Linked DNA regions of Rattus norvegicus. The protein of the gene in region 1 purifies or fractionates together with the protein of each later gene. This does not show direct contact. Links are inferred from orthologs where the notes say so. Each region holds a gene or a part of one and is shown on either strand. Other genes may lie near its edges. The genes, in order: Ankrd28, Arhgef2 and Ppp6r3.

Evidence for each region.
Region 2: the proteins of Ankrd28 (region 1) and Arhgef2 purify together in Homo sapiens (affinity purification with mass spectrometry; 3 studies listed by BioGRID and IntAct, with this or other methods). This does not show direct contact. The link is inferred for Rattus norvegicus from reciprocal best matches to the Homo sapiens genes ANKRD28 and ARHGEF2.
Region 3: the proteins of Ankrd28 (region 1) and Ppp6r3 purify together in Homo sapiens (co-immunoprecipitation; 3 studies listed by BioGRID and IntAct, with this or other methods). This does not show direct contact. The link is inferred for Rattus norvegicus from reciprocal best matches to the Homo sapiens genes ANKRD28 and PPP6R3.

The regions. Positions count from the first base shown.
Region 1 is NC_086034.1:7,049,844-7,060,472, reverse strand, and holds the start of Ankrd28 (ankyrin repeat domain 28), read left to right. Parts: upstream 1-3,879; 5' UTR 3,880-4,193; coding exon 4,194-4,220; intron 4,221-8,391; exon of another isoform or gene 8,392-10,629. UniProt on the Homo sapiens protein: Regulatory subunit of protein phosphatase 6 (PP6) that may be involved in the recognition of phosphoprotein substrates. Involved in the PP6-mediated dephosphorylation of NFKBIE opposing its degradation in response to TNF-alpha.
Region 2 is NC_086020.1:176,402,474-176,413,002, reverse strand, and holds part of Arhgef2 (rho guanine nucleotide exchange factor 2), read right to left. Parts: intron 10,055-10,529; coding exon 9,937-10,054; intron 9,792-9,936; coding exon 9,543-9,791; intron 7,114-9,542; coding exon 7,037-7,113; intron 6,078-7,036; coding exon 5,908-6,077; intron 4,694-5,907; coding exon 4,626-4,693; intron 2,672-4,625; coding exon 2,471-2,671; intron 2,198-2,470; coding exon 2,084-2,197; intron 1,984-2,083; coding exon 1,916-1,983; intron 1,785-1,915; coding exon 1,749-1,784; intron 1,556-1,748; coding exon 1,505-1,555; intron 1,320-1,504; coding exon 876-1,319; intron 1-875. UniProt on the Homo sapiens protein: Activates Rho-GTPases by promoting the exchange of GDP for GTP.
Region 3 is NC_086019.1:210,185,585-210,196,113, reverse strand, and holds part of Ppp6r3 (serine/threonine-protein phosphatase 6 regulatory subunit 3), read left to right. Parts: exon of another isoform or gene 1-2,260; intron 2,261-6,958; 5' UTR 6,959-6,964; coding exon 6,965-7,191; intron 7,192-7,941; coding exon 7,942-8,128; intron 8,129-10,529.

The DNA.
Region 1 (10,629 bases):
GATAAACTAGTTTTTCAGTTATGGAGTCACAGTATGGTGTTTCAGAGACCTTTTTCCTCATCTGCAGTATTGCTGATATGTCTGCTGACAAGTGGACTGCCATTCCTTTTAGGTATGTCTGACTTCCTTCAGTGTGAAGTTTTACATCTTTGTATTCTGCTTGGTTTTCTAGACATTGCCTACTACCTACAGGCTTCATTTTTAAGTTTATTCCTATTGAGACTCCATTTCTTCTTTAATTCATGGTGTTCTTCGAGTCTGAAAAACTCTGGCATTATCTTTATGTGCATGACTGTCCATTCAGTCTCTACTTTCTGAACCCCTTTAGATAAACACCTGGCTCTTGTCATGTCTCCTGTGGCTCTGAACTCCCCTCTGCTGCTTTGACAGTCTATTATTTGCATCTTATTGATAGTTCTAATTCTTTAGAAAAATCATTTTATGCAGTAGGGATTATCTGGCTCAAAAGAACCCCTCACAGCTGTCTATTTCCTACCACAAAGGCTGCTTTTCTGGTTTTTAAGTGCATTATGCCATTAGGTCCTGCCAGGGTAAGGTGGGTGAACCTGAGCACAGTTAGCCCCTTTAGGTAGCAATATGGAAAGGCCAATGAAAATTACACTAGGTCAGGGATATAAGAAGACTTAAGTGCCTAACATGTAGTAGATTAGGAAATAAAACCTTGTGTGGTGCTTAGCTTTCAGTAACTTCTTTGGTGATCTTATCTGTGCTATTTATTTTGGACACAAGTTTTGATGGCGACTACATCAGTTCTCAGACTTGGCAGTAGTGAATGGCTAAGGCATGGGCAAATGGGTTTAACCACAGTCAGTCTTTATTTGAGTCTTCTTAGGACTTCTGACTCTTTTTATGAAAAGTACTTATTGAGTGAACAGGGCAGTTGGGAAGTATCAATGGTATACAGAAAAAGAGATACATGTAAGACTTGGGAGATGGCACAGCATGAGGACCCAAGTTTGGATTCCAAATCTTACTGTCCAGACAGTTTAGCCAAAACAGGGAGTTCCATGTTTAGTGACAGACATTGTTTGAAAAACAATAAGGCAGAAAGTGATTGAGGAAGACATTCTGTCGAGCCTCTACAAGGTTGCAAGGATACACACAAGCACACATTCACAAACTCACACAGAGGGAGGAGGACAAGGAGGAGGAAGAGGAAGAGAGAGAGATTTTATTGATATCATTTTAGTATTTAGTCCCATTGGTTATGTGTATGATGTAGGCAGAACTTTTCAGAAATATAGTTATCTTATTTATTAATTTATAACACGGTCTCCCTATGTAGCTTCCCGGTTAGCTTCCTTATTGGTTACTGTGATGTATGTAGTACATTTCAAGAACACAGATTTAGCTATCTATCCATCTATAAAAGGGTCTCATTATGTAGCCTCCTGGCCAGCCTATCTGTCTATTTATGACAGGTTATCACCATGTAGACTCCTGGACAGTTTGGAACTTGCTATATTGATCAGGATAGCTTCATCCTCATGGAGATCTACCTGCCTATTATTCCCAAGTGCTAGAACAAAAGGCATATGCTGCCACACCTGGCTGAGCTCTTTAAAATTTTAACAGATGCAAGAATAAGAATATCTTTTAATGTTAATGAAACTTGAACACAAATATTTTTCAATTTATTGCTTAATTATATAGAAGTTTTATTTCTATTTTTTTCCAGAAGCAATAGTTGCTACTATCTCAACAGCTATGAAAATACTGATATTGAATTTGAGTGGTCCTTAAGAATTCCCAGTTTTTCATATTATTATCTTGCTTGATTGTGTGATATGAGTAGGCTTGGTAATATTAAGCTTAACCTTTCTTTTTTAAAAAATAAACAGCGAGGGGTTGGGCATTTAGCTCAGGGGTAGAGCGCTTGCCTAGGAAGCGCAAGGCCCTGGGTTCGGTCCCCAGCTCCGAAAAAAAAAAAAAAAAAAAAAAACAGCGAGTAAGACATACAAGATGTTAAAGTATTCAAGACGGAGAAAGGTGAACCCACCAAGGACTGGAGCACCTTTGCAGCACGATCACACACTCTGTAGTGCAGAGATTGAATGCTGTAAAATACTTTCACCAGTTACTCTTCATTAGAAATTTTCATCACTTCAATCCTAATACACATTTGGTCCGCTATCTCAACCCATACCCTCAAAACCACTTGTATGTTCCCCAAGTCAGTCTGTGCTGTGTTCCTAATCAAGTACCTGTTGTGCTTTTAAATTGTAGAACTTTAACCCAGAGGAGAGCTTACTGAGGATGGGCGTTTGTTCAGTTGTATTAATTGCTGAGTCAACATTCAGTGTTAAACAGGCAAATACACAGAAGAGAGTAAATCTTTCATCCTCGAGGAAGGTAAAACTCTATTTGCTGTAGCACATGGACAATTATAATCACAAAATATTGTAGTAATGTCGTCACAGCACCTTTGTTTTGAAGAAGTCAAAAGCTTTCATACTGCTAACTCATTCACCTTCAATGCCCTGGTAGAGACATGGGAGTGACAGAAACCTCATCATTGGCCAGAGTTGATGCAGAAAGGAATAAATTTCTTTGAAGAAAATGCAAAGCAAGAATCTTTTTTTTTCCCTGACTAAGCCTCTTCCATCAGTTATGAGTATTCCTCCATTTTAAAGTAGCAAATACCATCCATGGTAAAAATGTAATTTTAGAAAAGGGATGTTTCAGCAGAATTATGGCATAGTTATGTTAAGAAATATTGGAAGGTTCTTACTGCATTTGATCTTGCACTTTGATATTTTCTTTTCTTGTGGGGCTAAAGAGTTGTTTTTAATAGCAGCATTATAATAAAGTGACAGTCCTGGCACAGATCCCCATTTTTCTAGACTGCCATTAGGCTCAAATCAGCTCAAATCAATTCTCTAAATTAAGTCTGTCCCAAGAGACACGCCAATGCAGGGAAAAGATGAGATTTGTTTTTGTTTTTTGTTTTTTTTAAACCAAGCCCGATATCTCACGTTTGTGTTCTAACCATCTGTACCTTTTATTAATCAGGGGCTGGAGCCGCCCAGGCTGACAGACACAGAACAACAATCCTCTCCCACACAAGCCTAGAATGGTAACAGTGTGCGGCTGCCTAAGAAAGAAAAGCCTTTTCTGAGCTGTGGGTTGGCGTGGGTGTGTGTGCCAGGGCGAGAGAGTCATTCCTCTTCTTCATCCAAGGATGCTATTTATTGGAAATCCTGCACATCTTTTTGAAAAAATTGATTTCTCTCGAGTGGGAGGCAAAACCCTTTGGATGATAAAGAAGAAAGGGGGAAAACACATGCAAGATTGAAAGGGGCGCTTTGGAGAGAAAAGCTCGGTGGTCCCAACCTGTTCAGGCTGTGAAGGCCACGCCCTTCAATCCCGCGTGCCAGCAGTCCCTCCCCAAACCCCACGTACACGTCTCTCCCAGAGCCGCGGAGGCATTCTCACTCTCGCTCCACGTGCGAGTCCGGTTCCCCGTTGCCCTCGCTATTCTGATGGAAGAAGCATCAGCTCCGAGGTCTCCCTCGCTCGCACCGGTTCCGGCTGCCTTCTCCGCACCTGACTGAGCTGAGCTTGTGCACGCCACCTCCACGTGCCATCCCCGGCCGTTACCCGGTACCCAGTTTCCGTCCCTCCCCACCTCCAGCCCCGGCTCCTCCCACCGCGCCCGGGGCGCGCGCTCAGAAACCCGGCCACCTGGCCCGCCCGCTCCGCGCGCCGCCGCTTCCTGTGCCCCGCCCCTCTCCCGGCGGGGAGGCGGGGCCTGGGCGCGAGCGAGCGCGGCGGCGTGGCCAATGGGCGCCGGGCTTACTCTGGCCTCTCCCCCGCGCGGCCGCCAATCGCGGCGGGCGGTGGTGGTAATATTGTGGAGTGGAGTTTGGATGCCGCCGCGGCCGCGGGCTGGAGCGGCGCGGCGGCGGGGGCTGCCAGGGTATTTCGGGAAGGGGGTGTGAGGCGGCGGCGAAGGCGGCGGCTGCGTGTGGGAGGTGGCTGAGAGGGAGAGGGAGAGAAAGGACGGAAGAAAGAGGGCGGGAGTCCTCGGTGGAGGAGGCGGGACCGGCGGGGCTCTTCGCGGCGGCGGCGGGCGGCCGGGGAGGCGGCGCCGCCCCCTGCCCGCGCTCTCTTCAACGTAGCCGGCCACCTACCCGCCGGGCGCGGGTAGTGGCGGAACGGAGGCGACCGCCATGGCGTTCCTCAAACTCCGCGACCAGGTAGGTGAGGGGCGGCAGGGCGGGATCGCGCCACCGAGGAACCGGAGGAGGGTGTACCCGCGGCGTGGGCCGCCCGGGTGCCCGCTCGGCTCGGTGGCAGCGAGGGAAGAGTGTCCCGGGCCGGGAGCGGTGCGGGCCGTCCGCCTGTCAGTGCAGCCCCAGCTCCGAGAAACCCACGTGCCGCCGGGGGATCGCGGCCCCGGCCACAGGGGCGGGTTCGGCGCTCGCCGCCCTCGCGTCCGGCGCGCTGCCGGGTAGGCGCCTCCTCTTTCCTGCCAGGTGAGGCTCGGGCCTAACAGGTGGCTTTGCGGTGCTGAGTAGGAGCGGTGCTGGCGGCGGCCGTGTCCCGGGGTCACGACCTTGCTCTCGGGTTCGCCGCGTGGGGTGGTTCACGGTCCACCGCACTGTCTCTGCGGAGAGGTGGTGGCGGAAGAAAGCAAACCCACCAGTCCGGATTGATTCTGCTGGAGTCTAGTTGTTACCGTGCATATCCCCAGACTCTTTCTCTTGGCATATTCTGCACCATCTTGGTTTAGTTTTCTTGACTTAGGAAGAGCTTGTCAAAGAACACCTGAAGTGCTCAAAAGACTGACACTTGTGGGCTGGGAAAAATAACACTGTATCTACCAATGAAATCGCAACTATGTCTGAATGAACGCTTGTTACCCTTAAAAAGGTGGGAAGGTGAATCATAAGACTTTCAGGAGATGCAGACGCTCCCCAGTGTTAAACGTCTCTCCTAAGGAAAAGGGAAATTAACCAGTGGAATTCACAGAGTCGTGGGAACCTATTAATGCTAAGTACCTATTTTGCCATTGTTTTTCTGAATAGGAGATACGGAACAGATTTGAAGGGAAAGTTACTTGCATGGATTGAGAAACCATTCAGAAAGAGGACACAGGCTTAACAAAAAGATAGGGGAAAACTTAATATGTTTTATATACTTTTCTACCAATTAAAACGTAAGTTCTGCATCTAGCTAATGTTAATTTCTCATTTCAAAAGCGAATATTCTATTTAAGCTGAATGCTGGCTTTATCGTATCATTTTAGCTGATATTAACAATAGTTTATGATACTTTGAAAAACTGGTTGATAAATTTGTATTTCAAATTATGTGAATAACTTTACTGTTCAGCATGTTACATCAGTTACGCACAGTGTCTTTAAGCTGATTACAATTAAAATATAGTTTCATAATTGTGCTAGTTGCTTTTCAAAAGTGCTAACTAGCTACAGGTCGCTCGGTTACTGTATTAAATACAGTAAAGCCTCTCATTGCACAAAGTTCTGTCAGGGAAAAAAAACCTGTTAATAACAAGCAGCGTTCAAGCCCAAATCATCTAATTCTTACATAGCTAATACCATAAAACTCAAGATCTAGATTTTCAACTAATCTTTATTACTGTAGTAACACTTTGTACCTGCATATTTGTTCTAATCCTTCCTTCAGTTTTGGAAATGTATTTTGTGATTTGGTCATTGTGTGTATTAGGGATTTGGTAGGCTATTTATAAAAACCATGAATAAAAAATAAAAATCCATTTGCATCTTTGCATTAGAGTAACTAGAGTTTTGAAGCAGTCATAACACTGACTCAGTTTTATATAATATTTGTTAATACCCAGTGGTGATATTGATCTTTAAAATGTCGCCTGTAAACTTGAGAATGCTTGACTAAGTTAATGAGATGGCCTCGCTGGGGAAGACTTACTGTACTACTGAAAAATTGGCTCATCTGGTTCTTTTGAAAGACAAAAGCTGAAGAGTCTGTTTTGTCTAATATAAAGGGAATTGCACCTTTTCTTTAGAATCAGTTTATGTATTGATATGTCAAAAGACATTGGAAATGATGATAGAAAGGGAGTGGGATGCAACAGTTTAATGTTTTCCATTTGTATGAAAAGCACATTAGCCGGACAAAGTCGTTTTTGGAGGAAGGGTGAGAAGATCTGGATATGTACACAGGATTTTAAACATGGAAGGTAGTTGATATCACTTTTAACCTTGCAAAGAATAATAAAAAGAAGCTAGACATGAATGAGTAAGGATTTTCTTCAACATTGAAGTCTGAGAATAGTTCTACGTAAAGATATAAAATCAGAGGTGAGAGATGATACTATCAGTAAAGAGCTCACATCTACAAAAGCATGAGAATCTGAGTTTGGTTCCCAAAAACTCCATAAAAAACCTGGGCATGGGTTTGGGGATTTAGCTCAGTGGTAGAGCACTTGCCTAGCAAGCACAAGGCCCTGGGTTCGGTCCCCAGCTCCGAAAAAAAAAAAGAAAAGAAAAAAAAAAAAAAAAACCTGGGCACAGTGGCACATGCTTGTAATCTCAGCGCTGGGGAGGTAGAGACAGGTAAATCCCTGGGCGTCTTAACCAGCCAGCCTAGTCTACTTACTTTTACTTGTGAAGAATGACACTGGAGATTGATTTCTGGCCTCCACTTGCACATGGGCACCCACAGGAACACAGACACATACATGAAAGATACACAGTGAAGACAGATATAAAATCATTAAGCAAATAAAGGAAATTGTCCTCATTCTGTAGTCAGAATATGACAGCATTTATTTTGTGGCAGCATGTAATTAAGGGGATAAGAAAGAATTATTGTATTACTTTCTGCCCATGAGTAGATGAAAATATTTTTTAAATTGTTAGTAAAATGAAACTTTGTTTTCTGTTGATAACAGTAGATGGGAACTTTTTTCCTGAATTACTTTAATTTGGCTTATATAACATTCATCCGTAACAGTGTTAGGATTTTTCTCTCCTGAGGTTATCACTGGCTATTTTTCTCCTTAGGTGATGAAAATTATTCATATATGGTTACATTTTAAATCATAAGCATTATGTTTTATTAAGGAAGGTTGCTGGTCTTTGTTTAGGTTTCCTATTTCAGAAGCTAAATAGCAACTGGCACTTGTATGTAGAAACTGATGGGGAGTGGTGGAGATCATGACCTTAGTGTCAGGCATGCTAGTCACTGCTCAGCCCTGAGCCTTTGTTGTGCAGGTGTGTCTAGTATTTCTGAAATTCTGTTTTCCTTTAGGATATCAGAAGTCCAGATTGTTAGGGAAAAATCTATTTATAGATGTTAGTATGTAACTACCAGTGACAACAGTAAATACTCAGGGTATAAAAGAGGACTAGTATGAAACTAGTGTGTAACGCTAATTCAGATGAGTTGGAGAAAAACTCCAAAAATGGTTCTCATATTAAACCGAGTGTTCTTTGACAACAAAGGACCACAGTGGTCATAAACCCCCAACCCCCTCCTCCCCAGTGTTTTGTGTGTGTGTGCATGTGTGCACGTGTGCATGTGTGCACGTGTGCATGTGTGCGTGTGTGCATGTGTGTTGTGTAGCCAGGGATTGGATCTAGGACTTCTTCCATGATAGGCAGGCACACCACCAACCTGGTCATAAACCTTTTTAAAAATTTAGAATTTGTATACCATAAGATTTACACTCTTAAAATAAGTGGGGTTGTTTTTTTTGTTTGTGGGTTTGTGTGTGTGTGTGTGTGTGTGTGTGTGTGTGTGTGTGTGTGTGTGTTTCACAAAACTGTAATCACCACTAACTCTAGAACATTTACCACTCCAAAAAACCACATGACCATTAGCAGTCATTTTCAGCTTTCTCTTGCTTTCTATGCCTGGTAATCAATATTCTACTTTTTATAAATTTACTTGTTCTGGATATTTAATTTAAATGGAATCATCTAGCATATGGCTCTTTATGTTTTTCATTTGATTCATTTTGCAAATACTTTGTAAATGTCTATTTACTTGTAAAGGTTTATTCATGTTGTATTAATCTGTTGGTCATAACTTTGTATGTCTTTGTATGTATAGGGTTCAAATCCAGGAACCAAGTGTCCATTATGCTAAGTAGACACTTGATCACTGAGCTACATTACTAACCCTCGTCATAAACTTTTGTAACATGCTTAAGAGTTTGCAAAAAAAAAAGTTTAAAAATACTTATACCATTTTATTTGTACCTGAAGTTTACTTAACATTAGTGTTGAATAGTGTTTTTCTGTTTTTTTTCAGAATTTGTTTATAACTGGAGTTAAATTTTGTTTGCAGTAATACTAAAGGGTAGTGGGTTTTAATATTAGATTTTAAATTTTTTCTACTTGTATTTGGTATGTAGGTTTCTTTCTTTTTAAAAAAGATTTATTCTTATATTTATGAGTACTGTTGCTGACTTCAGACACATCAGGAGAGGGCATCAGATCCCATTACAGATGGTTGTGAGCCACCATGTGGTTGCTGGGAATTGAACTCAGGACCTCTAGAAGAGCAGTCAGTGCTCTTAACCACTGAGCCATCTCTCCAGCCTGGTATGTAGGTTTCTTAAAATACTGTTTGTCCCCCATGTAAAAATTGGACCCCTATTAGGTACCTGATTATGAGATATAATTAAAAATATTATACAATACATAATGGTTAGGTCAGTGGTTGGTTTCAGCCCTGGCTATCCTAGAACTTGCTGTGTTGGCCTCAAACTCACAGAGATCTTCCTTTACAGACATCCCCTGAGTAAAGGAATGAAAGATGCGCATCACTATATACTTCAATGTTGGGTGGGGGCAGTTTGTGACAGGGTTTCTCTGTATCCCTGGCTATCCTAGAACCTGGTTTGTAGACCAGGGTGGCCCTGAACTGTGTGTGAACTGTGTGTGGTTACAATGGATGAATTTTTAAAGAATGGATTTAAAAATCTACATAAAAATTTATAGCAAACTTATTTTGTATGGTACAAGTTCTTGCTTGCTCAAGGATCTACTAAGAACTGAGCATGATTAGGGTTTTCTTGAGTAGGGGAAAAAGAAGAGATAATATTTGTGCAGTAGTTTGACTAAGAAGAACCCCTCGAGCTCAATAGATTTGAATACTTAGTTACCGGGGAGTGGAACTGTTTGAAAGTTACAGGGATTTGGAGGTGTGGTCTTGTTGGAATAGGTGTGGCCTTGGAGGATCTGTGTCACTGAGGGTAGGCTTTGACTTTGAAAAGCCCATGCCAGTTCCAATCAATCTTTCTGCCTGTGGATCAAGTTGTAGCTCTGAACTGCTACTCCAGTGGCACGCTCCCACCATGATGATCATGATTTCAGAGGTAAGCCTCTGAGATCGTAAGCACGCATCCAGTTAAATGCTTTCTTTTATATAGGAGTTGCCTTGGTCATGGTATCTCTTTTTCAGCAATAGAACAGTGACTAAAACTTTGAGATACCTTATAATTATGTTTACAAAATGCATGAAATGCTGAAGAACACTGATGCTCGTATGTTCAGGTACTCTGTATTAGAGTTCTCTTTGTTTTGTTAACAGGACAGAAGAAAGAGACACAATCTCTGCCCTTAAGGGTAATATTAGCTAAAAGAGGGGAAAGGCTACATAAGTACCCTTTATGTGAGTTACTTCAAGAGCAAAATGTATAAAGTTGAAGGAAAACAGATTATATTAAGTGAAATGTAATGGACAATTGAAAATTAAAAGCTCATTTTTATCAGTGGCTTTTGAATAACATGTCATTCATGTAATACCTATCATGTTCCGTAAAAGATGGTAACATGTTTCAGAATTCAGAAAGCATCAGATTATAGTCAGAAACTCTTGGGGAAAGTGAACTATTTTAGGTTCACCAAAAGTATATGTCAGTGTCAGAAACAAATAGTTGTGCTTGAAAATGTCAAGAGAAAAATGAGGTGGTAGGCCAGGAAAGAAGATGCTAGGATAACGAGGAGACAGTCTTGCTAAGTGTAGTTGTAAAGGATGGCCAAGGTAACAGTGACCGTGTTATGGTAAGTATTTGGCTGAGAATTTCGATATGGACAGCATAGCTGAGCCTCAAATAAAATCAAATTTCAGCAAGAGTGTACATGTGTGTATGCGCATAGATTTTGGACTTTACTAGGTCTTGGAATGGTTTGGGACACCTAGCATTTAATCACTACGTTTTAAGTTTTAATAGGAATGGGCATGGTGCCTGTAATACCAGCACTTGGACAGTGGAAGCAAGTTTTAGAAGGGCATATTACAAAAGGAAGAGGTGTAGACATCCAAGACCAGTTAAGTAGTTGGTGCTATAATTTCGAGAATGTACATAAAATATTTTTCACAAACAGAATTTTAAATATGAAAGCAGAAATAGAATGGGAGTGAGAACATTTTTTAATTTTGATATTCTCATTAGCATGTGTTGTACAGATTAATACATCTTGTTGTGACATTTTTCATACATGCATATAAAGAGCACTTTCACGATTTCAACTTCTCCATCGCTGTCCATCGTATCCCAGCTGGATACCCTGCTGATCCCCTTGCTTTACTCATGTACTTAAATATCTTTCTTGGATTTCTTTTCCCCCATCTAGATTCTACATATAAGAAA
Region 2 (10,529 bases), on another chromosome or scaffold:
TTCTTTCTTTTAAATTTTATGTGTACTGGGGGTTGGGGATTTAGCTCAGTGGTAGAGCGCTTGCCTAGGAAGCGCAAGGCCCTGGGTTTGGTCCCCAGCTCCGAAAAAAAGAACCAAAAAAAAAGGGGGGGTTGGGGATTTAGCTCAGTGGTAGAGCACTTGCCTAGGAAGCGCAAGGCCCTGGGTTGGGTCCCCAGCTCCGAAAAAAAGAACCAAAAAAAAAAAAAAAAAATTCATGTGTACTGATGTTTTGCCTCAGCGTATGTATGAGGGTGTTGGAAACCCTAGAACAGACATTATAAGGCTGCGAGCTGCCATGTGGGTGCTGGGAATTGAAGTTCTGGAAGAGCAGCCAGTGTTCTTAACCGCTGAGCTATCTCTCCAGCCCCAGGTGTCATGTCTTTAAGTGGCGGTGGCGGTGGTGGTGCACCCCTTTAATCCCAACATTCAGGAGGTAGAGGCAGAGTTTGCCAGGTAGGCAAACTCTAAGTCTCAGTCTAGAGTCTAGACTACACAGAGAAACCGTCTAGAACCACTCGTCCACCCTCAACCCCCCCCCAAAAGTCATCCACTTTGTTTTATGACACAGGGTCTCCTACTGGAGCTCACCAAAGAGGCTAGGCTGGTTGGCCAATGAGTTGAGAGGATAAACCAGCATCTGCCTCCCAAGCACGGGGATTGTGAGCATGTACCACATGATGAGGGTTCTGGGGGAGCAAATTTAGGTTCTGATGTTTACAAGGCAAGCATTTTATCAACTGACACAAATCTGTTGCCTGCTGTCATTTGGGCTCAAATCCCCGCCAGCTAAGAGTCCTTCAGGTTCTGCAGGCTCCTAATCACAAGGGTCATATCACTACTCCAGGCGGCCTTACCTGGGGGGGATTGAAGCTCAAGTACAGAGCGTCGCCTGCTGGAAGGCTGCGGCGCCGAGGGTCCAGAGGCCTGCGAGCCCAGGGTGCTTCTGCCGGGAGTGGCTCGTTTTGGCCCAAGGCTGCTAGCTGCCGGCGGATCTCTTCAGCCTCCCGCTCCAGCAGGGCCCGGGCTTGCTCGCTCTCCCGCAGCCTGGCCTCCAGGCTGCCAGCTTCAGTTGCCCGCTCTTCCCCGAGCCGCTGGCAGCGCCGCAGCTCTTCCTGCAACAGGCTGTGCTGCCTCTGCAGTAATGCCAGCTCCGTGGCCTGCTTCTCGGGAGTTACAGAAGCAACCGCAGCCCGGCCAGCTTCGCCATCCCGAGAGTTGGCTCGGGATAGCTTTTCCCACCGCTCAGGGCCTTCAGGGAACAGGGCTTCCATCAATCTTTCTTGCTGGACCACAACAGCCTGGAGGGTGGGGTGAGGCGAAAAGGTGATTCAGAAGCCATTTCTATCCACTTTTCTCTCAATCCCGGGGACCCAGAGAGCTTGGCTTGGGGGAGCACTTAAGCCTGTTAGGAGGACTGTCATCGGCATGGACACCTTTGGGTAGCTCCTCCCTTTCTTCCCCACTCCAGCCCTGGCTCACTGACCTGCAGGCCTTGTAGGAGTCCATACAGATTGACCAATGGTTGTAACGCCTCCTGAGGACAGAGAAGAGGGTGAAATAGTACCCAGGCTTCAGGAAGGGTAAGTACTGGAGGTTATCAGGAGGGTGTGGAAATGGTGTCTAGAGACAGACTTAAGAGTATAGATTCTCCCCCCACCCAAACTGGGTTATGATTTCTCAGATAGTGGCTTTCATCTATCTCCTCTACCACAGAATTCCCATCTCACCTCCTGTGGTGACCTCAACTGATTTCCATTCCGATCCTACAGAAATGAACAAGAATGGGAAGTCAGCGGGCACAGACCTGGGAACCTTCCTCAGCAGCTGTCTACTGAAGATCCATAGGCCAGCTGTGCCCTTTCTCTGGCCACTCCCTGGCTCTCCAAGAACCCACCTTCTGGCTGGAATCTGAGTCTGCTCTACAGAGCTCAATGGAGCCATTGAAGGTTCTGGCCTCTCCGTCTGTGGCAGAGAAGAGAAGGAGGAGCAGAATATACTTGTACCTGGGGCCCCTCCTCCCTTATTAAGTCACTCCCATCTTGCTTTCATGCCCTGTACTCACTGGCAGTGACCCCAGGACAGCTACCACTGTCAGCTTCTACGGGTAAGGCTGGTTCTCGGGCTGTCAAAGGCAGGTCCACACAAGGGCCCAACAACAGGTCTTTCAGGCCTTCCACTGCAGGAAAAGAAATGGAGGGGACAGGAGACAAAACCCAGTGGGGATCCACCCAACACACATCATTTGGGTAGTGGGGTTTCAGTTGGCCATGTGGCATCCAAGAGACATCAAAGATGCACAGTGGCAGCACAGCCTGCCTGAGGGAGAGGCCTCCAACAGCAAGCTCAGATCTCTTCCCCTTTCCTTCCCAGGAATTAGACCAGGACAAACCCAAACCCCCCCATGGGTTGTGGTGTTGAGTGAACAGCCTAGGCTCTTCAGTGGCCTCACCTTCACGGAGGGCATCTTTGAGCAGACGCTCGCCTCGAAGGGACTCAAAGGACTCAAGACGGAAAAGGCCCCTGGGCAGGGTGGGCGGGGGCATTCCGATGAAACCAGCTTTTAATGCCTGGAAGTGGACCATCTCAGCAAATAGCTCAACATTCATCTGTAGCAGCTCCACCAGCGCCTGGTTTTTCTGCTGCAGTTTCGCTGTGGATAGGAACAGGTTAAGTGTGGAAGGACCAAGGACCCAAAGAGCCTGTGGAGGGCAGGCCAGGGACAGCAGAGGGGTAGCCCAGGGTCAGCAGAGGGGTAACCCAGGGTCAGCAGAGGGGTAGCTCAGGGTCAGCAGAGGGTCAGAACTTAATTCTTGGCCTGGAGCATTCCCAAAACCAAAAAATCGCATGTGTGGTATAAATCACCATTACTTTTGTTTATAAAAATCTATGAATAGGGACTGGAGTTTTGGCTCAGTGGTTAAGAGCACCGGCTGTTCTTCCAGAGAACCTGGGTTCAGTTCCCAGCAACCAAAGAGCAACTCACAAGTGTCTATAGCTCCACTTCCAGGGGATCTGGAAAACACACATGCAGGCAAAGCACCAATACAGGTAAAATAATAGTAAATGCATGCATCTTAAATATCTGTGAATAAGGGTTCAGGTTGACCATCTCATCTTCTTCATTTCCTTCAATTAGAATACTTGTAGAGGGCTGCAGAGATGGCTCAGTGGTTAAGAGCACTGACGAGGTCCTGAGTTCAAATCCCAACAACCACATGGTGGCTTACAACCCTCTGTAATGCGATCTGATGCCCTCTTCTGGTGTCTGAAGACAGCTACAGTGTACTTATATATAATAAATAATTATCTCTCAAAAAAAAAAAAAGAATACTTGTAGAGTGCTCACTCAGAGAGCAGAGTAACTTGCAGTTAGACACGGCATTTGGACTGTTTTGTTTTTGTTTTTGAGACAAAGTCTTGTGTAGCTGAGGCTGGCCTCAAACTCCTTATATAGTTGAGGCTATCCTCTGTGGTATTTTGAATGAGATGTTTTCATCAGGCATTTGAATACTTGGTACCTAGTGGGTAGCTGTGTGGGGAGGATTAGGAGGTGGAGCCTTGCTGGAGGAAGTAACTGGGGGCAGGCTTTGGGGTCTCAAAGAACTCAACCTTTCTCAGCTGGTCCAGTGGTCACGTCCGCCACCCGCTGTTCCCACCATTATGAACCCTAACCCTCTGGAACTGTAAGCCCAAAAGAAACCCTTCCTTCTCTGAGTGGCTTTCTTTGGTCATGGGGTTTTATCACCACAATATAAAAGGAACTAGGGCAGACTTGAATGCCTGATCCTACCACTATGGATCCCAAATGCTGGGATGACCAGTGTGCACCCCCACAGCTCTCATTACAGGACAAATTTAACCTTTTTTTTCTTCACTTTCGTTTGTTTTCCGAGATAGGGTTTCTCTATGTGAATAGCCCTGGCTGTCCTAAAACTAGATTTACAGATCATTTTAGCCTTGAACTCACAGAGATCATTCTACCTCTGCCTCCCAAGTGCTGGGATTAAAATCGTGGGCCACCAAGCCCAGCAGTAACCTTTATTTTTAATCATATGGGTGTTCTGCCCACATATATGTCTATATACTGTGTACATCTGTGCACCATGTGCAGGCAGTGCCCTCAGAGGCCACAAGGGGACACTAGATGCCCTTGGGACAGAGAGATAGTAGTCTATTTTACATATACCAACACGCGCGCGCGCGCACACACACACACACACACACACACCCCAATACACTTCACATTGTTTTAAACCCAGCTCTTTTTCATGTTTATTTTGGACAGACTCTCAGCTCACATGAAGCTTTCACTTTCCCTGAGATCATTTTATTCTGTGTGAGTTTTGCCTGCTCATAGGTATGTTCATCATGCATGTGCCTGTGAATGAGGTGGCCCAGGGCATCAGAGATCCACTGCACTGGAGTTAAACGATTGGGAGTCACCAGGCTGGTGAGAATCAAACCTGAGCCCTCCGATGGAGAAACCATTGCTTTCAACCTGTGAGTCATCTCTCCAGTCCCTTTTTGAGCCAGCCTTTCTGAGAGCAGCATGGTATTTTGTGTGGATACGGTATAGATCAGCCCACTCCCTGGAGGGAACTTACTCTTGATCCTCCGGAGGTACGCCTTATCCTCTGTCTCGATCAGAGGGAAGTCCTCCCTCGACGGGCATCTGCAGAGCGACAGGCAGGTTGGTTTGTGGGAGACACTAACAGTCAGCGTTCTCTCCTTTGCACATGACCCTCCTCTCATACCGTGGCTTTAGTCCCTCTTGGCACCAATCCTCATCTCTCTAACTCAGGCTTACAAAGGATATAAAAAGCCTGCATCCACCTCTAGCTCTGGTCGCATCATCGGGAGAGCCATTTTGTCAACTTTTGTTATTGTTGCCAACTTCTGACTCTCTGTGGGTTGCAGCATTGATGTATGTGGTGCTGGGGGAGGGGCCCAGGGCTTCCAGAATGCTAGACAAGCACTCTAACAATTGAGCTACAGCACTAACTGTGTGTTGGGTTTTGGTTTGGTTTGGTTTGGTTTGGGTTTTTGGACAGGGTTTCTCCTGTAGTCCTGACTATCCTGGAACTCACTCTGTAGACCAGGCTGGCTTCGAACGCAAGAGATCCACTTGCCTCTGCCTCCCCAGTGCTGAAATTAAAGGTGTGCACTACCACTGCTGGGCCTATTGTAGTTTTTAAGACAGGGCCTCAGCCCAAGCTGGTCCTGAGCTCCTCATGCATTAAGGTTGGCCTTTAACTCTGAATCCTTCTGCCTCCACTTCCCAGGCATTGGGAATATAGGTGTTAATGCCACACCAGGCTGTCCTCAACATTTTGGATAAAACGTGTTCAATTCACTAACATCAATGCTTCAATCACCCCCATTCTTTCATTTTTAGAAAGTAGAGGTAAGGGCTGGAGAGATGGCTCAGCGGTTAAGAGTACCCGACTACTCTTCCAGAGGTTCTGAGTTCAATTCCCAGCAACCACATGGTGGCTCACAACCATCTGTAAAGAGATCTGATGCCCTCTTCTGGTGTGTCTGAAGACAGTGACAGTGTACTTATATGTAATAAATGAATAAATCTTAAAAAAAAAAAAAACTAGAGCCTTCTTCCTACTGCCAGTGATGTATGAGGCTGGCACTATGTCACTGGCTGGCAAGTCTGCCACCACCAAAGAGCTCTACACAAACCGTTGTCAGTTCAGAGTGCTTTGGAGGGATAGCTGGGTTATCTGGATATAAATTACAACTTTTCATGTGATTTCTCTTATCTTGACTCATCTTGTCTATTCCCAGCTTCTGCCCCAACCTCTCATGATGAGTTAAGTCCCCGGAAGTATTCCACCTAGGACTGGAAGCCGTATGTACACGCAGGCACACACTCACAAGCGCACGCTCTGCTGGATGACACGGATCCAGGTAGTACGGTCATCTCGAGATGCTGCGTGTACTTCATACATTTCAGGTGGGCCAGAACTGATCAGAAACATCCCTTTCGCCTGGTTGGCAATGTCTCTTACGATGAGATTCTGCAAGGATACCACTGAGGGCTTGTCCTGTCGGGGAAAAGGGAAGAATTCAGCCAAGGCACCCTAACCCTTAATATCTGGGTTTCAGTTCTAGAATACCAAAAGGATTGAACATGGTGATACATAACCAAAACCCTAGGCATCAGTACCAGCCAGGACAATTTAGATGTGCGTGTGGGTCCCTTGATACATTCTCTGTCCCTCCTTCCCTCCAACTTCTTCCCTTCCTCCCTTCTTCCCCGCCCCCTCTCTTCTGGGTCTCACTATGTAACCTAAACTGGGGTTGAACTCACTATGTGGCCCCGAACAGCCTCAACGTTGTGACCCTTGGGCCTCTGCTCTCCCAGCACTGGGGCTTGTGCCTGCTTTACTTTTGCTGTAGTTGCTGTTTTTGAGATAAGGTCTCACTCTATGACCCTGATGGGCTTGGAACTTGCTATGTAGACAAGGCTGGCTTAAACTCAGAGATCTACCTATCTCTGCCTCCCAAGGGTGGGGTGAAAGGTCTACTCTACTGTTCCAATGGTAAATTTACTTACTTATTTAGTTATTTTTTAGATGTGGGGGGTCTCATGTCGTCTAGGCTGGACTTTGAACTCACCGTGTGGTTCATGACCCTGCACTCCTGATCCTCCTGTCGCTAACTCCCAAGAGCTGACATTACAGGCATGGACCGCCAGGCACTAAACTTTACCTTCGTCATCCACAAAACGAAGTTAATGACAGCTTCCCTGACGGGGCAAACCTGCCCGAGCACAGCAGCGGGACCTGGCGGCTATCTCACGTTTCTTCTTTTTTCTTCTCTCTCTTTTTTTCCCAGAGCTGAGGACTGAACCCAGGGCCTTGTGCTTGCTAGCAAGCGCTCTCTACCACTGAGCTAAATACCCAACCTCCTCACTTTTTTTTTTACATAGATAGGGATTGGACTCAGCAAGACTTTCTTGGGCTGGGTAAGAAAATGGATGAGAGAACAGAGGAAGGCTCACCAGGGACGTGAAAATGTACTTCTGGTCCTTTTCCTGGAGAAACACCAGCACATCTGTCATCAGTAGTAAGAGGACATCTGGCCAAGACACAAAGTGGGAAAATGGTCAGCACTGAAGGCTCAAAGCAACTGTTTGCCCCCTCTCCGAGGACCAGGCACACCCCCACTGGGTTCCCCCCAACCCCCGCAATTGCTTCATCTTTTCTGACCTCTGACCTCCAACCTCACCATTTTTTTTCCCCAGAGCTGGCTAAATCCCCAACCCCAACCTCACCATTCTTTTGTTTTTCCTTCAATATTTCAAGACAAGGTTTCTCTGTGTAGCCCTGGCTGTCCTAGAACTCACTCTGTAGATCAGGCTGGCCTCTAACTCAGAGATCGCCTGCCTCTGCCTCCCAAGTGTGGCCACCACTGCCTGGTTCAACCTCCTCAATCGTACAACATGGAAATAGAGGGGACAGGGGTTGGGGATTTAGCTCAGTGGTAGAGCGCTTGCCTAGCAAGCACAAGGCCCTGGGTTCGGTCCCCAGTTCCAGAAAAAAAAAAAAAAAGAAGAAATAGAGGGGACAAGTTGCCGATGCCAACACAAAGGAACTCTTGCCTCAGAATTTTTTTTTTCTTTTTTCTTTTTTTTCGGAGCTGGGGACCGAACCCAGGGCCTTGCACTCGCTGGGCAAGTGCTCTACCGCTGAGCTAAATCCCCAACCCCCCCCCTTTTTTTTTAAATCGGCCAGTTTTAGTCAGGTGTGGTGGTTCCAGCACTCACGGGGAAAAGGCGGGCAGATCTCTAAAAGTTTGTCAGCCTGGTTTACAAATCAAGTTCTAGGCCTGCCAGCAAGATATTGTCTGAAAAGAATAAGTAAAAAATAAAAAAGAAAGAAAAAGCAAAAATAAAAAACACCCAATTAATAAATAAAACCAACAATAACAAAAAAATCTAAGTCACCCAATTCTGATTCTTTGAAGTTTATTTTGTATGTGTGTTTTTGCCTGCGTGTGTGTCACATGCATGTAATCCCCACAGACGCTGGAAGAGGGCGCTGGATCCCCTGGAACTCAAGTTACACAGTTGTAAATTGTAAGCTGCAGTGTGGGCGCTGAGAACTGAACCCAGATCCTCTGCAAAAACAGCTCTAACCACTGAGCCATCTCTCCAGCCCGACTCATGCTTCTTAACCTAGGGTCTTCAGCCCCCCCCCCACCAGAGTAGCCATGCTTGCTTCAGAAACTCTGTAAACCGGCTGCTGTTACACAAACACTTACACATTAACATACAGGTTCAAGTGATCCTCCTGCCTCAGCTCTCGGATAGCTGAACTACAAGCAAGTACAAGCAAGGACTTGCTTAATCCAAGATATTTCTAAGTCACAGGATTCCCAGAACAAGACAGGTTGTGCTCTTTGCCTTTAAGTTGTGTCTGACATCTAATGCAAGCACCTTTTTAGGTGTTCTAATACACTGACATATTCCTGTCTCTTACTTTTTGCCAAAGAGAGGGACAAAGTAAGTTTCCTTCCAGGAGAGCAGACTGAAGGCCACCCCTCACCCATGACCTGTGACTGATCTCATGTCCTCTAACCCCAGCCAGCCCTGCTTCAGTTTCTTTCTCCTGCCCCACCCTCCAGGCTTTCAGACTGTCATGGCTCCTGTACGCAGAGGAAGGGAGGAACCAAAGACCAATTCTTTGAGACCTGAATGGCACAGTTAGGAACACACAGTCACCCTTTGCCTGTGGGGATTCTTACTAAAGCGTGGACACAGGAGGGGAGGGCTTTCGCTAATCACTCAGAAACAGAGCTCTCCAGCCTTGCTATTTTTACCCCTCAATGCTGGGTATTCTTAGCTGCGGCGTGGGAGGGATGGGAAGGAGAGAGAGGGATGGAGGAGAGAGCCTAGTAAGGACTAACAGGACGCAAGCCCTAGGGGTAGGAATTTCACAGCATAGATGTGATTGTGTATGGGCTCTGGCTTCGGGTACCCCCCACCCTTCACCTCTAAAACCGAGGTTTAGGGGTGTTATTTTCTTGTCCTGATTTAGGGGCAAGGATTTTAACTGTAGATAAATTCTAAAAGGTGAGCCTGGGATAGTGCACCCTGACACTCCCATCCCCACCCCCACCCCAACACTGCCCTGTAGTCCCATCTCCATTCTTCAGCCTCTCAGTCCTTCCCCAGTGTTCAATTCTCACTCTGGGTCTCCTAGATGCATTTCTGTTGCGATTCTGGCCGAAGTTTGTGCCTCTTCAGCACTAGGTTTCCCTCTGATTCTCACCCTTGGTGAAAGGCTGTAAAAATAGTCCCTATGGGGACTGGAGAGATGGCTCAGTGGTTAAGAGCACTGACTGCTCTTCCAGAGGTCCTGAGTTCAAATCCCAGCAACCACATGGTGGGCTCACAACCATCTGTAATGCAATCTGATGCCCTCTTCTGGTGTGTCTGAAGACAGCTACTACTGTGTACTTTAAAAAAAAGGTGGCTGCAACTCATACAGAATAGGACCACTGACCTTTAAAGCGGCCTGTGGCTGTCTTCCAGAGCAGGCAGCCATCATGGATAAGTTTTCTCCGCAAAAGTTCATCTCGGCCGAAGGGGCCCTTGCCAGGAACAGGGGTCTGAGCCCGAGGATCCATTCGGTTGTAAATCTCCTGAAGGCGGGCCTCTTTCTCCAGCTCGTGTACATCCTGGTCCACATTGGACAACAACTCCTTTACTAGCCCTAGGGCTGCTGCCAAGTCTTGGTACTCCTCTTCAATCCCTGGTACCAGATGTCCAGAGTGAGAGATAGTTTAACCAGTACCACTCCAACCCAACTCTACCTGAGCCTGCTCACTGCTCCCCACCAATCCTGCTTCTTCCCCTGGATGTCCCCAGGCAGGCCCTGCCCCCATGCTCTTCCTCACCATGGGAATTCTGCAGGATCCTGTTGATGAGCACTGGGTATTTGGTAATCCGCTGAGTTACCAGGAGAATGCACTCCTGAACCCCATGCCGCTTCAGCACAGCAGAGCGGGTCATTTTCTGTAACGGAAGATGAAAGACTAAGGGGACAGAAAGACTGGAGTCCAGGCTCTGAGGCTGGCCCACCCTGGTATCCGCCCCATGTTGGTCTAGGCAGACAGCTTCTCGGAAATGAGTAACAGAATGTCACAGGTCTGTGGTGACAAGCAAACCAATGATGGCATGAAAACTAGACCAACATCCTCTTGCCCAGTAAGGGGTGACTGTTGATTTAAGAGATGCCTTTAATAGCAGTACAGGAAGGGAGATAGATCTCTGAGGTTTTAGGCCAGCCGCATCTACACAGTGAGTTTCATGACAGCCAGGGCAGCACAGAGAGACCATGTCTCGACAAATGAAAGATATCTAGGGGCACAGTTCACAAGGGTGTTGAGGGACTGCCCTCTATGAGGACACAGCTCCCATATGCTACCCTGGGAGAGTTTGGGTTTGAGCCATGAGAAGGCTGGGCTTGGACTTGGGCTTGGAGAAGCTT
Region 3 (10,529 bases), on another chromosome or scaffold:
ATGTTACTGTGCAGTCTCACAGAACCCTGTGCTCAGGGCTTCCTTTAATGCTTTATTTACTGTTGGCTTCTTGAAATCGTCACCGTCTTGAGTTGATTTTGGAGATAGCATTTTTGTTTTGTGTCCAGACAGTCTTGGGTGTAGCTGTCACACAGGGCAGGGTATGGACTGGGAGCTAGGCAGAATCGCACTTCTTCTGTAGAGAGGAGTGCTCAGCTGAAGCAGAGCTCTTCAGAAGGATGATGTGGTTCTTGTTATTTCTGTAGTCCACAGTTCATTCACATTGCAATCATCATCAGTTTTTCTGTTCAGAGAAACTAGGAGGTTTTGATAATATGTGTTTTAAATTTAGCGTTTGGTGTCATTGATCCTTTGTCCTCTTTGGACAGTCATATGTTGTGTGGCTCATATGTAAACACAGTCCCTTGCATTAGTATGCAAGGTTATGTTTTCATGGTTATGTATTCAAAATGTTTACTCAGTTTTTGAGAATACAGGCTAAATTCTTTGTTGTCCCTTTGCTTAACAGTTGATGAGCAATGTCCTCCATTTATGGCATCAGGTAGATGATGCAGAGTCCCAGGCTGGAGTTGCTCTTTCCTGAATTAGAAATCAGACTGCATTTTATAAAACTTCTAGGTGACTCCTTGTCCATAAAGGTTTGGGAGTAATTCTCTAAGCTCCCAAGTGGCATTGTTGGCATATTGATAGAACAGTGGCTTCTTTTTGCAGTACATTCCAATTTCCATAATCAGTTAATGTGATGAGCTGCTGAGGTTAAAGTATTGAGATGAGGTCTCAGGACTGCAATCTCCAGCAGTCCTGCAGCTGGCAGTAGAGTGCAGGTCTCTGTGGATACTGGCACTGAAGAAGTTCCAAGGGTGTCTTAGGAGTACTAGTGCTGTGATGAAACACCGTGACCAAAAAGCAATTTGGGGAGAAAAGTGTTTATTTAGCTTACACTTCCATATTGCTGTTGATCATCAAAGGAAGTCAGGACAGGAACTCAACACAGGGCAGGAGCTGTTGGCTATGGAGGGTGCTGCTTACTGGCCTGCTTTCTCATAGAACCCGGGACTTCAGCCCAGGGATGGAGCCACCCATTAACAGCTAATTCAGATAATGCCTTACAGCCAAATCTTAGGGAGGTTTCCTTACTTTCAGATAACTCTACTTTGTGTGTCAAGTTGACATAAAACTAATGCAAAGGATAGGATACTGTTACTTGATGGAAACAAGTGATTCTCAGTCAGCCATACTTAAATTCCTTGGATGTGTTGATGTTGTGTGAGCAGGACCTTGCAGAGTCTACAGAAAGGCTGGTGTTCTCCTCGAATCTCCTGTAGATGAGGTCCCATGTTTCCCAGACTGTCAATGCTGACACACTGTGAAGTGAAGGGCTCGTGTCCTAGATTGCCTTCCAGAGCCAACCTATGTAGTATGAAACTAGTGTAACAATCTTAATGGATCTGTAATTAAAGCCTTGATCTGAGATGACTAGGCTTATTCAGGAGATAGGTTCGTTGGCTCTTTTGTGTGGATAGATAGCTGTTTTCACTATGGGACAAAGACCAGCAGAGGAGATTATCTGTGGGGTCAGGTAACCTGGTAACTTGCTTGCTTAAAATATCTAGTCCTTTCACGGGGGGAAAAACATTTTCAAACTTCTAGGTTCAATTTGTAAAAGAAGCCTAGGATTTTGTTAAAAGGAGGTACTTTGGTCTCTCACCAAGCACCTCACCTTGCTGGCCAGCCTTCCTAAGTGAGATTGAATTTCTTCTTATCCATAAGTAAGTGTCACTAAGCTAAACTGTGGATTTTAAATATGTTTCTGTGTCCTGTAAACACTTTGTTAGGTCCATGATGCTGCATACCTGTAACCCTAGCACTTTTCAGGAAGAGGCTTGAGGATCAGTTAGCTACATAAGTGACTGTATGAGATCCTGTCTCAATTCTGTTTTCTCCCCCATCCCCAATATTTTTTGGTTTGATTTTATTGTTAATTCTAACTCTAGTTTCATTGCAAATTTTAGCTTGTGTCGTTGGTCTTTAAGACAAGATCCCTTGCTATGTAGCTCAGGCTAGCCTCTAAAGCTTAGACTCTTTTGGCCTTGGCTTTCTAAGTGTTGTGATTATAGTTTCAGGCTACCATCCCTGGTTTTTGTTTTTGTTTTTGTTTTTTGAGGCAGGGTCCCTGATCAGCTGGAAATTTGCTCTACAGGTCAGCCTGGCCTCAAACTCAGAGCTCTGCCCACTAAAGGTATTTACCACCAAAACTGCATTTTACCTGAGGGAGGGTAACTGTTATTTTGTATCTAGTTTCATTTTTCTTCAAAGGGTACCAGCCCAGGGACAACCACTTTGCCAGTGCTGGTTGTGTCCACTCAGCTTGCTGTAGAATAGGTGCATACCATGCCTGCGCTTTGGTGTTGAGATAGTGACATGAGCATATGAAGAACATTCACTGTGAGTACATACTTCCATGTTCTGCTGTGTGCTGATGAAGGAATCAGTCATTTTACAATAAATGCTAAAAAATTCTCCTTTCTCTGTGTTAAATTTTATGTTTAAAATAGTTTGTATTTTAGATAAGTAATTCAAAACAGTTTTGGGTTAGGGGATTAGAAGGCTGGGCCAGTAGGAAGGCCATTATAACCCTGCTGGACACTGGGCATATTGTTTCGAGTGGATTGTAATAGCCTGGGCAAGGATTAGGTCTCCAGGTAGTTTCCTACCATTGTGTCAATTTGAGCCTCAAGACCTCTTTTGTTTTTACTTATATAAGCTTTTAGGGCCATTCTGGCCATTAACAAAGCTAAATGTAAAGGGGGAAGGGATGTGTGTAGGTCTTCTGACTAATGACACAGCATAGTTGAGTTTCTCATCTACCCAATACCTACCTGTGTATGCAGCAGGATACCATCCTATGCCTGGGAGCCAGGAGGGCCGAGCAAGCTAGCTGCAGGGCAGATTGGGGCCCTGGGATAGATAGATACCTGGATGGGTTCAGGAGATATTAGAATACAGATGTCAGGAGGAACTTCTTCTTATAGGTTGGAGGACACTGGACTTTCTGTGAATGACCAGATATAGATGATCTCTATCACATTCCTTGTTCCACTTCCCCTTCCCTCAAACCTAACTCTATTAAAAAATGTCAAAACCATTCTTAATTGGCAGGTGGTGGGTTGGATTGGGTTGGGTGTGTTCGCTAACCCACCCGGTTCTTACTTTATTGTAACTAATCAGTCTTTTTCTTTTCTTCTTTTGTTTTAATCACTCTTTTTCTAAATCCCATATTTGCTGCATTTCCCGACTAAGACTATGGTTTGGGCGGTTTTACTTGGTGTGGGTAAATCTACTTGATTCATAATGTAAGAGTGGTAACTTCATTTGCAGCCATCTGTATGTAGCCTGTGTACTCTTGAGTTCTTCCTTTGATAGGCAGCCCAGGAGGACCTTGAATCTTTTGTCCTATAACACTGGAGTAGTGAAGCTGTAAAAAAGCACTTTAAAAAAGTTTGTGGTTTTTAAAGGATTTACAAATAAATGAACTGTAGTTACTTTAGTAGAAAATTTAAGATAATACTGATGGTGTGACTTTGTACCCCTAAACAAGAACAGTCTCTCCCCTTTCTCTTTAGGAATATAAAAAAGAAAAACCCCCATTGTTCCCCCCTCCTTTTTAAAAATTAATTTATTTTCATGTAAATTGGTGTTTTGCTTTCATGTATGCCTGTGTGAGGGTGTCTGATCCCCTAGAACTGTAGTCACAGATAGTTTGTGAGCTCCTGTGTAGGTGCTGGGAAATGAACCCAGATCCTCTGGAAGAGTAGCCAATGCTCTTAATGGCTGAGCCGTCTATCGTCTCCCCTTTCCCCTTTCATATTATCTTATGGTACTGTTTGTGCTTATTGACTGATTAGGATAAAATGACATGGGTTTTCTTTTTGTTTTGACCATTTTCCCCAAATCTGAAAACCAAAGCAGTATATATATATTTCTTAAGGTTTCCCTGTATTGGCTTTTTCTGGACTGCTTTTCTGTTACTTGTTGCCATTTTTGCAATGACTTCCCAGTCAGAACTAGTTTAGCATTGTATTTAAATCAGGCAGCTGCTTAAATACCTTCTGCTGACTGCTAGAGAGCTTCTGCAGGTCCATTCCTGCACCCTGTTAGAGCCGGGGAAGGTCACTTGCTTGTGTGCTTGTTGCATCTGTGTTGGGAGCTGCATTTATCTAGCTTGTTGTCATAATGTGTGCATAGGGAAAGGCTGTGCTTCTCTGGGGGCCTCTGCCTTGTTTCCTCCCGGTGGAGCTGTGTTGTTTGCTTCCCCACCCCTCATGTATCCTTTTCAAGTGAGGAGTGTGAATTTGGGTCATGTGAACCGAGCAGCTGCTGTTTGTCCTTCCTTGGCTCTTAGTCTTCTTGCAGCTCAAGATTGTGAGCAGATTTGCCAGTGTCCTTGAGAGCATGTAAAGGTGTTATAAACTGACTTTGGTGATAGTTGACACTTAGCAGTATTGCTTTATGAAACTGTTCCCTAAGGTTTCTTGAACTTTTCTTAATGAGGTTGCTTGTTGGAGAGTCAGGCTCAGCACCTGCCATGTGAAGGGGACGCTCCTTGGAACAACCCACTGTGCACAGTCTGCTTTTCAGCTCTCATTTTTGGGTCAGTCAGTCACTTTGACTAGGAGCATGAGTAAAGTTTGCCTCTGTAATTCCTCTATATTTATTTTATTACTTGTTTGTGTTTTTTTTCCCAGACAGGGTTCCTCTGTCTAACCCTGACTGTCATGAGAATTCACTCTGTAGACCAAGTTGGTCTCAAACTGAGATCCACTCATCTCTGCCTCCTTAGCGCTAGGATCACTAAGTGCCATCACCCTTTCCTAAATTTTCTACTTTAAGAAAGTGATTTTGAGAACATCAAGTATGGGTGATTTAGCAAAACATACAGGTATAAAGGTAGGTCCGCTTTACATAGGTAGGACCTTTCCTTTTGCTTGTAAAAACATGTAGATATTGGTGAGCTTTTCTGGTGGTAGTCCTTCCAGGATGCACTTGACTGGGTGGGTGGCTAAGCTGTAGCTGATGGAGAGCTTTTGTTTGAGCACATGGTAGCCTTGTGCCTCAACTCTCAAGGAAGTCTCTGACCCCTTCAGAGGCTAGCATACCTGGACTGATTGGTTCTGTTGCTGCAGAGACCTGGTGCTGGATGGCTGCATCTTGTTATTACCTTCTGGTTAGAAGTGGCCTGTGAGACCTCTTCCACATTCCATACGTAACAAACGAATGCCTTTTTGGCTCTGTGACTTGAAGAACAAGCATTTCATGGTTGTAGGCATGGAGACCAAGTTGAGGAAAGACTATAGTATTGTTGGGGGTTGACTGTCAGCTGTTTCTCTTAGTGACTTAGGATAGTAAGTTTGTCTTAATTCTTGAAGTTGTAAAGTTTAGTTCTTTTCTGGTACTCTATGACTTTTAGCTATTAGTGAAGTCACCTGCAGCTTTACAGTGATATTCCTCTGTTATAAGGGAAGTCACCTGCAGCTTTACAGTGGTATTCCTCTGTTATAAGGGAAGCTCTGGCTATGCCTCTTCATTCTCATTTGTTGTTGAAGATGGCAATTCTCTGAAGAATCTATTCTTCATCCTTCAAAAAAAAAAAAAAAAAGAGTTGCCGTGATTCTTTTTTTTTTTCCCCCTTTTCTTTTTTTTTTTTTTTTCGGAGCTGGGGACCGAACCCAGGACCTTGCGCTTGCTAGGCAAGCGCTCTACCACTGAGCTAAATCCCCAACCCCAAGTTGCTGTCATTCTTGATCTTTATCTGTCTCTGTCTGTTTCTCAGTCTCCCTGCCTGCCTGCTTTCTCCTCTTCCCTCTCCCCCTCCCCCTCCAGTTTTTCTCTTTTAGACCAGACTAGACTTGAACATGCAGTAATTTTCTTGCTTTAGCCCTCCAAGTGGTAGAATTTGAGGTATGAAATATTTTTGCTTAAAATTTTTTTTTAAATTAATGGGCAACATGCTTGTAGAGGTCAGAAGACAACTTGGAAAATCTAGCTCGTTCCACCCTGGAGTTTGGTGATCGAATTCTAGTGTTCAGACTTGTCAGCAAGCTCCTTTTCCTGCTGAGCCATGATATCCTCCTTCAGCATTCTTTTTGTTTGTTTTGTTTTTTTGAGACAGGGCGTCTGTATAGAATCCTGGTGATGACTATGTAGACCAGGCTGTCCTCAAATACACAGAGATCCTCTCAAATCTTTCTCTAGAATGATGGGATTAAAGATGCAGGCCACTGTGTCTAGCCAGCATAAAAATTCTTAAAGTATGAATGAATTACTTCTTTTCCTCTTACTTTTATTGACGGGGGAGGGTGGGGGATGACAGATTCTTGCTGTGTGGCTCAGGCTGGCCAAGAACTTGTGATCATCCTGTCTCACTCTTGAAAATTTAAGAGTTTTGGGTATGTGCCAGGCTGACTTGGATGAAATGCTTTTACAGGTTAAAATCATTCCAAACTTTTGTATTCAGCATTTTCAACATTTTAGCCAACTGAAAATATTTTCTGGGATGGAGTGATAGCATCTAATTTCGATTCCCAGCCCCATTTGTGGCTTACAAATATCTGTTAACTCCAGTCCTAGAGAATCTACCAGCCTCTTCTGGCTTCCAGGACCATTCCGTGCAGGTCATGCACATATAAATAAAAGTGAATAAAGTTTTTAAAAAGTCTAAAAAGAAAGCCAATAAATAAATTCTTTAAAATTTTTTTCTAAGAAAGAAAAAAATCCTACTAGTGTTATTCATTAAATCATTTTGCAAGTTAAGTGTGAAACTGCTTTATTTTTGTGTCAATGCCAAGTTGGCATTGTAGATCAAAATTGAACTGAAATTTGGTTTGTGGAAAATTAGTAAAGCCTGAATTTTATGAAAATCTTTCTTTGTCTCGTTTAGAACAGCATGTTTTGGAAATTTGATCTTCACTCATCATCCCACATAGACACGCTTCTAGAGAGAGAAGATGTAACACTGAAGGAGCTAATGGACGAGGAGGACGTTTTACAGGAATGTAAAGCACAGAACCGAAAGCTCATAGAGTTTCTGTTAAAAGCAGAATGTCTGGAAGACTTAGTCTCATTCATTATAGAAGAGCCACCTCAAGACATGGATGAAAAGATCCGATACAAGTAAGAAAATGACGTCTTTGCCTTAGGGTGGGGTAGAAAATGATTATTTGATGTTTAAGAATTCCCTAGAGCCACTATGAACTATGGACAAGATGGTCAAGAGCTACACAGTTATGGAGCACACAATTGATTCTAGAGCCAACAACAGTGAGTCACAAGCATCTAAAATGTTCTGAATCTTCTCCAGACGTACAACATGCTTTATAATAGACAAACTTCTCATATTAGTTAGACATTCAAGTAAGTGTCTTCTCTACTTTCCAGATAGGAAGCCAGAAGTCTATGACGGGCCAAGATTGTCTAAAGGTTTAGTCACATCATTGCTCAGATAGTAAGGTCAGCCCTTCCTCGCATGAGTTTTAGGTGTGAGTTGCGTGGGTCTTGGTGAATAGCGGTGAAGCTATATTTAAGTAGGAAATGACATAATAAAACAGAGTGGGTTGTAAGCCATGTGGTTGCTGGAACTTGAACTCAGGACCTCTGGAAGAGCATCCATTGCTCTTAACCTCTGAGTCATCTCTCTAGCCCAGAAACAAATTCTTACAAACAATTGATTTAAAGGCAATTTTTTAGACAAAGTAGAAAATGTCTTTTAACTTAGAGGTTGGATGAAATGGATTGAAGGTGCTCTTAATTCATTGTATATGGTTTTGATGACTTGATAGAATTTTAGGAGACCTTCCTGGTGTATGCTATACTTAATGTGATAAAGTTTCCACTAGATGATAATGTAATGTCCTGTTCTTCTAGGTATCCAAATATATCTTGTGAGTTGCTCACATCTGATGTCTCCCAGATGAATGATAGACTGGGGGAAGATGAGTCCTTGCTAATGAAATTATATAGCTTCCTCCTAAATGAGTCCCCCTTGAACCCACTACTTGCCAGTTTCTTCAGCAAGGTGCTAAGTATTCTTATCAGCAGAAAACCAGAACAGGTAAATACTGTTTCCAAAGGTAAGTATCTGGGCTGTGCATCCCCAAGGTGACACCAGAAACTTTGTTGCAGTGTTCTGAGCATGCTTGAAGTCCATTTTCAACAAGAGAGTGTGTTTTAGGTCTTCATCAGTTTGAGCAACCCTGGTTTACACATTAAGGAATATTTCTTCTTTGACATACTCTTTGATAGGCTCTAGCTCTGTTTGTTAGCATACTTTGATTTCTTCTCTGAACTCGTAATCAAAAGCATCTTTTTGAGAGTAGCAGGCTGAATCTGGGTGTGTATCTAATGACCTTTTGGATTTAACAGTTGGCTTTGCTTAGTTGTTTCCAAATGATGATCTTGAGAGAAGGTAGAATCAGGTATTCCCGAAAGTGAAGCTGACTAGTGCTTTGTACACAGTGGTAATTTATTTTAGCTTAGCTGGATACCCTTGCATCCCAGCAGTTCCTAGTGTATTGCACTGGATAGAGGCACACACCTCAATATTCTTACAGCTACCACCCCTTGACCTCTGCTTTCCCCACTAATTCAGATTTATGTGGAAATGCCACTTTCCAAGGAGTGTCACTTGGTGAAGTGTGACCTTTGGATCAGTGTCACCAGTATCACCTGAGAACTCTTTTTTTAAGCACTGCAAGTTGATTCCTCCCCCTGCTCTGCAGGGGTCTTGACAGTGAGGGGTTTAGTGCATTTTTCAGCTCACAATGTTGCTTGCTGGAATCAGAGAAAACATCGCTCTAGTGGATATTGATGTGAAAGGGTGCTCACTTCCAAGAAATAGCTAGAGCAGCAGATGCTGAGTGCAAGCCGACAGATTATCAGATGCAGCAGGCAGAGGTGAACATGGTCAAGCCAGTCAGACCTGGTGTTGTTCATGGTAGACAATAGTCCCCAGTTACTTGGTCTTATTCTGTGGTCGGCTGAAACTATTTTGGGCCCATTATGTTCTGTTCTCTGTTAAGGCTGGGCCCATGTTTTATTTCAGAAGGATGATGTTCTTTTTGTTCAGATAAGATTTTTATTTGAATAAGACAACTTTCCCAAGTGTGTTGGAGGAAGATAATTTGCCTTGAGTCACAGTAGTCACAGTCCCCAAGTCATGGTGTCAGTAGTGTAGATTGTCTCCCATTCTGCCCTCCACATAGAAATCAAAGTATCATTGGCAATTGCAAGCCATCACATACCTTGGCATAGTTAGTTTAGAGATGGCTACCTCCATTAGTAAGGCAGGCTTCAGTATGTTTTTATCCTTACATCTGCTGTCGAGACCCAGGCTGATGAGCTATGATTTCTGCAGCGTATAAGATAAACCATGAAAATATGTGGGAGACTTTCTGAGTCTCTCTGTTACTGACACCAGAGTTCAGAGCCAGTTTTATGATCTGTCTTGACAATGATGATATATGTCAGTTGAACCCTAAATGAAGAGTCCTGTCACCTTGTTTGTGTAGCTAGGATTCCTTGGAAGATGAGAGTACAGGAGTGTTGCTTGTATAGCTGCTTTTGTCTTTTGACAAAAACTTGTTTCCCGTTGTTTGGTAGTGTTGGTTAGGACTTAGGCACTGCCAGTGATGACAAAAGTCCACAGTCACATGGCTTAATTAGAAAGGTACTATTCAGCCTCTAGAAGAGGGTATCCAACTGTTGGCAGTGTTGAGTGGTTTAGTCTTCCAATGAAATCTAAAGTATAAATAGGCCTCGTGGTCCATGCTGCAGTGTCCATAGCACCAGCTAAGGTTTGTGCCTGTAGGCCCTAGAACCAGTATTTCTGCCATGAAATTGTGGGGAAGTTTGGCCATGTGTGACTTTTTCCTCCTCTCACCCTTCCTTTCAAAGACTTCTGTAGGAATCAGCTGTGAATGGCATGGCTGCCACTCCTTGAAGAAGTGCATCTATTTTACATCGTTGTCTACACAAACAGTACACTGACTCACTTTGAAGCTACTTGGCGGGTGTAGTTCTAGCTGTTCTGGCTGTTGGTCTTCTTTGTGCAGCTTGGTAGAAGTCCTGTGACTTTCATAGCGTGCAGATCTGAGTTTAACTCCCAGGACAGTTTCCTTTTAGTTGTAGGAGATACTAGCATGTCTGAGCTAGGATTTCTCATCTAGAACAGTGAATCTTCACCTTCCAGGGCTTAGTGAAAATTTGTGGCAAACTTTCCTACCACCTTGTGAAGCTCTCCCAGTATGTGTGGTAGGGTTTTAGCAGATGCTGTGGGCTCTGGGCTCACAGACACAAATAAGACATAGGAAGCTGTGTAGGACAGAGCATCATTTCCATTCCTAGTTCTTTCCCACTCAGCACAGCCCCCTTTTCCCAACCTCCTCTTGTTGGTCACATATGCACGAGTGCAGCCTAAGTCACCTCGTGTTAGAAACATCTTTGCTTTGAATCTC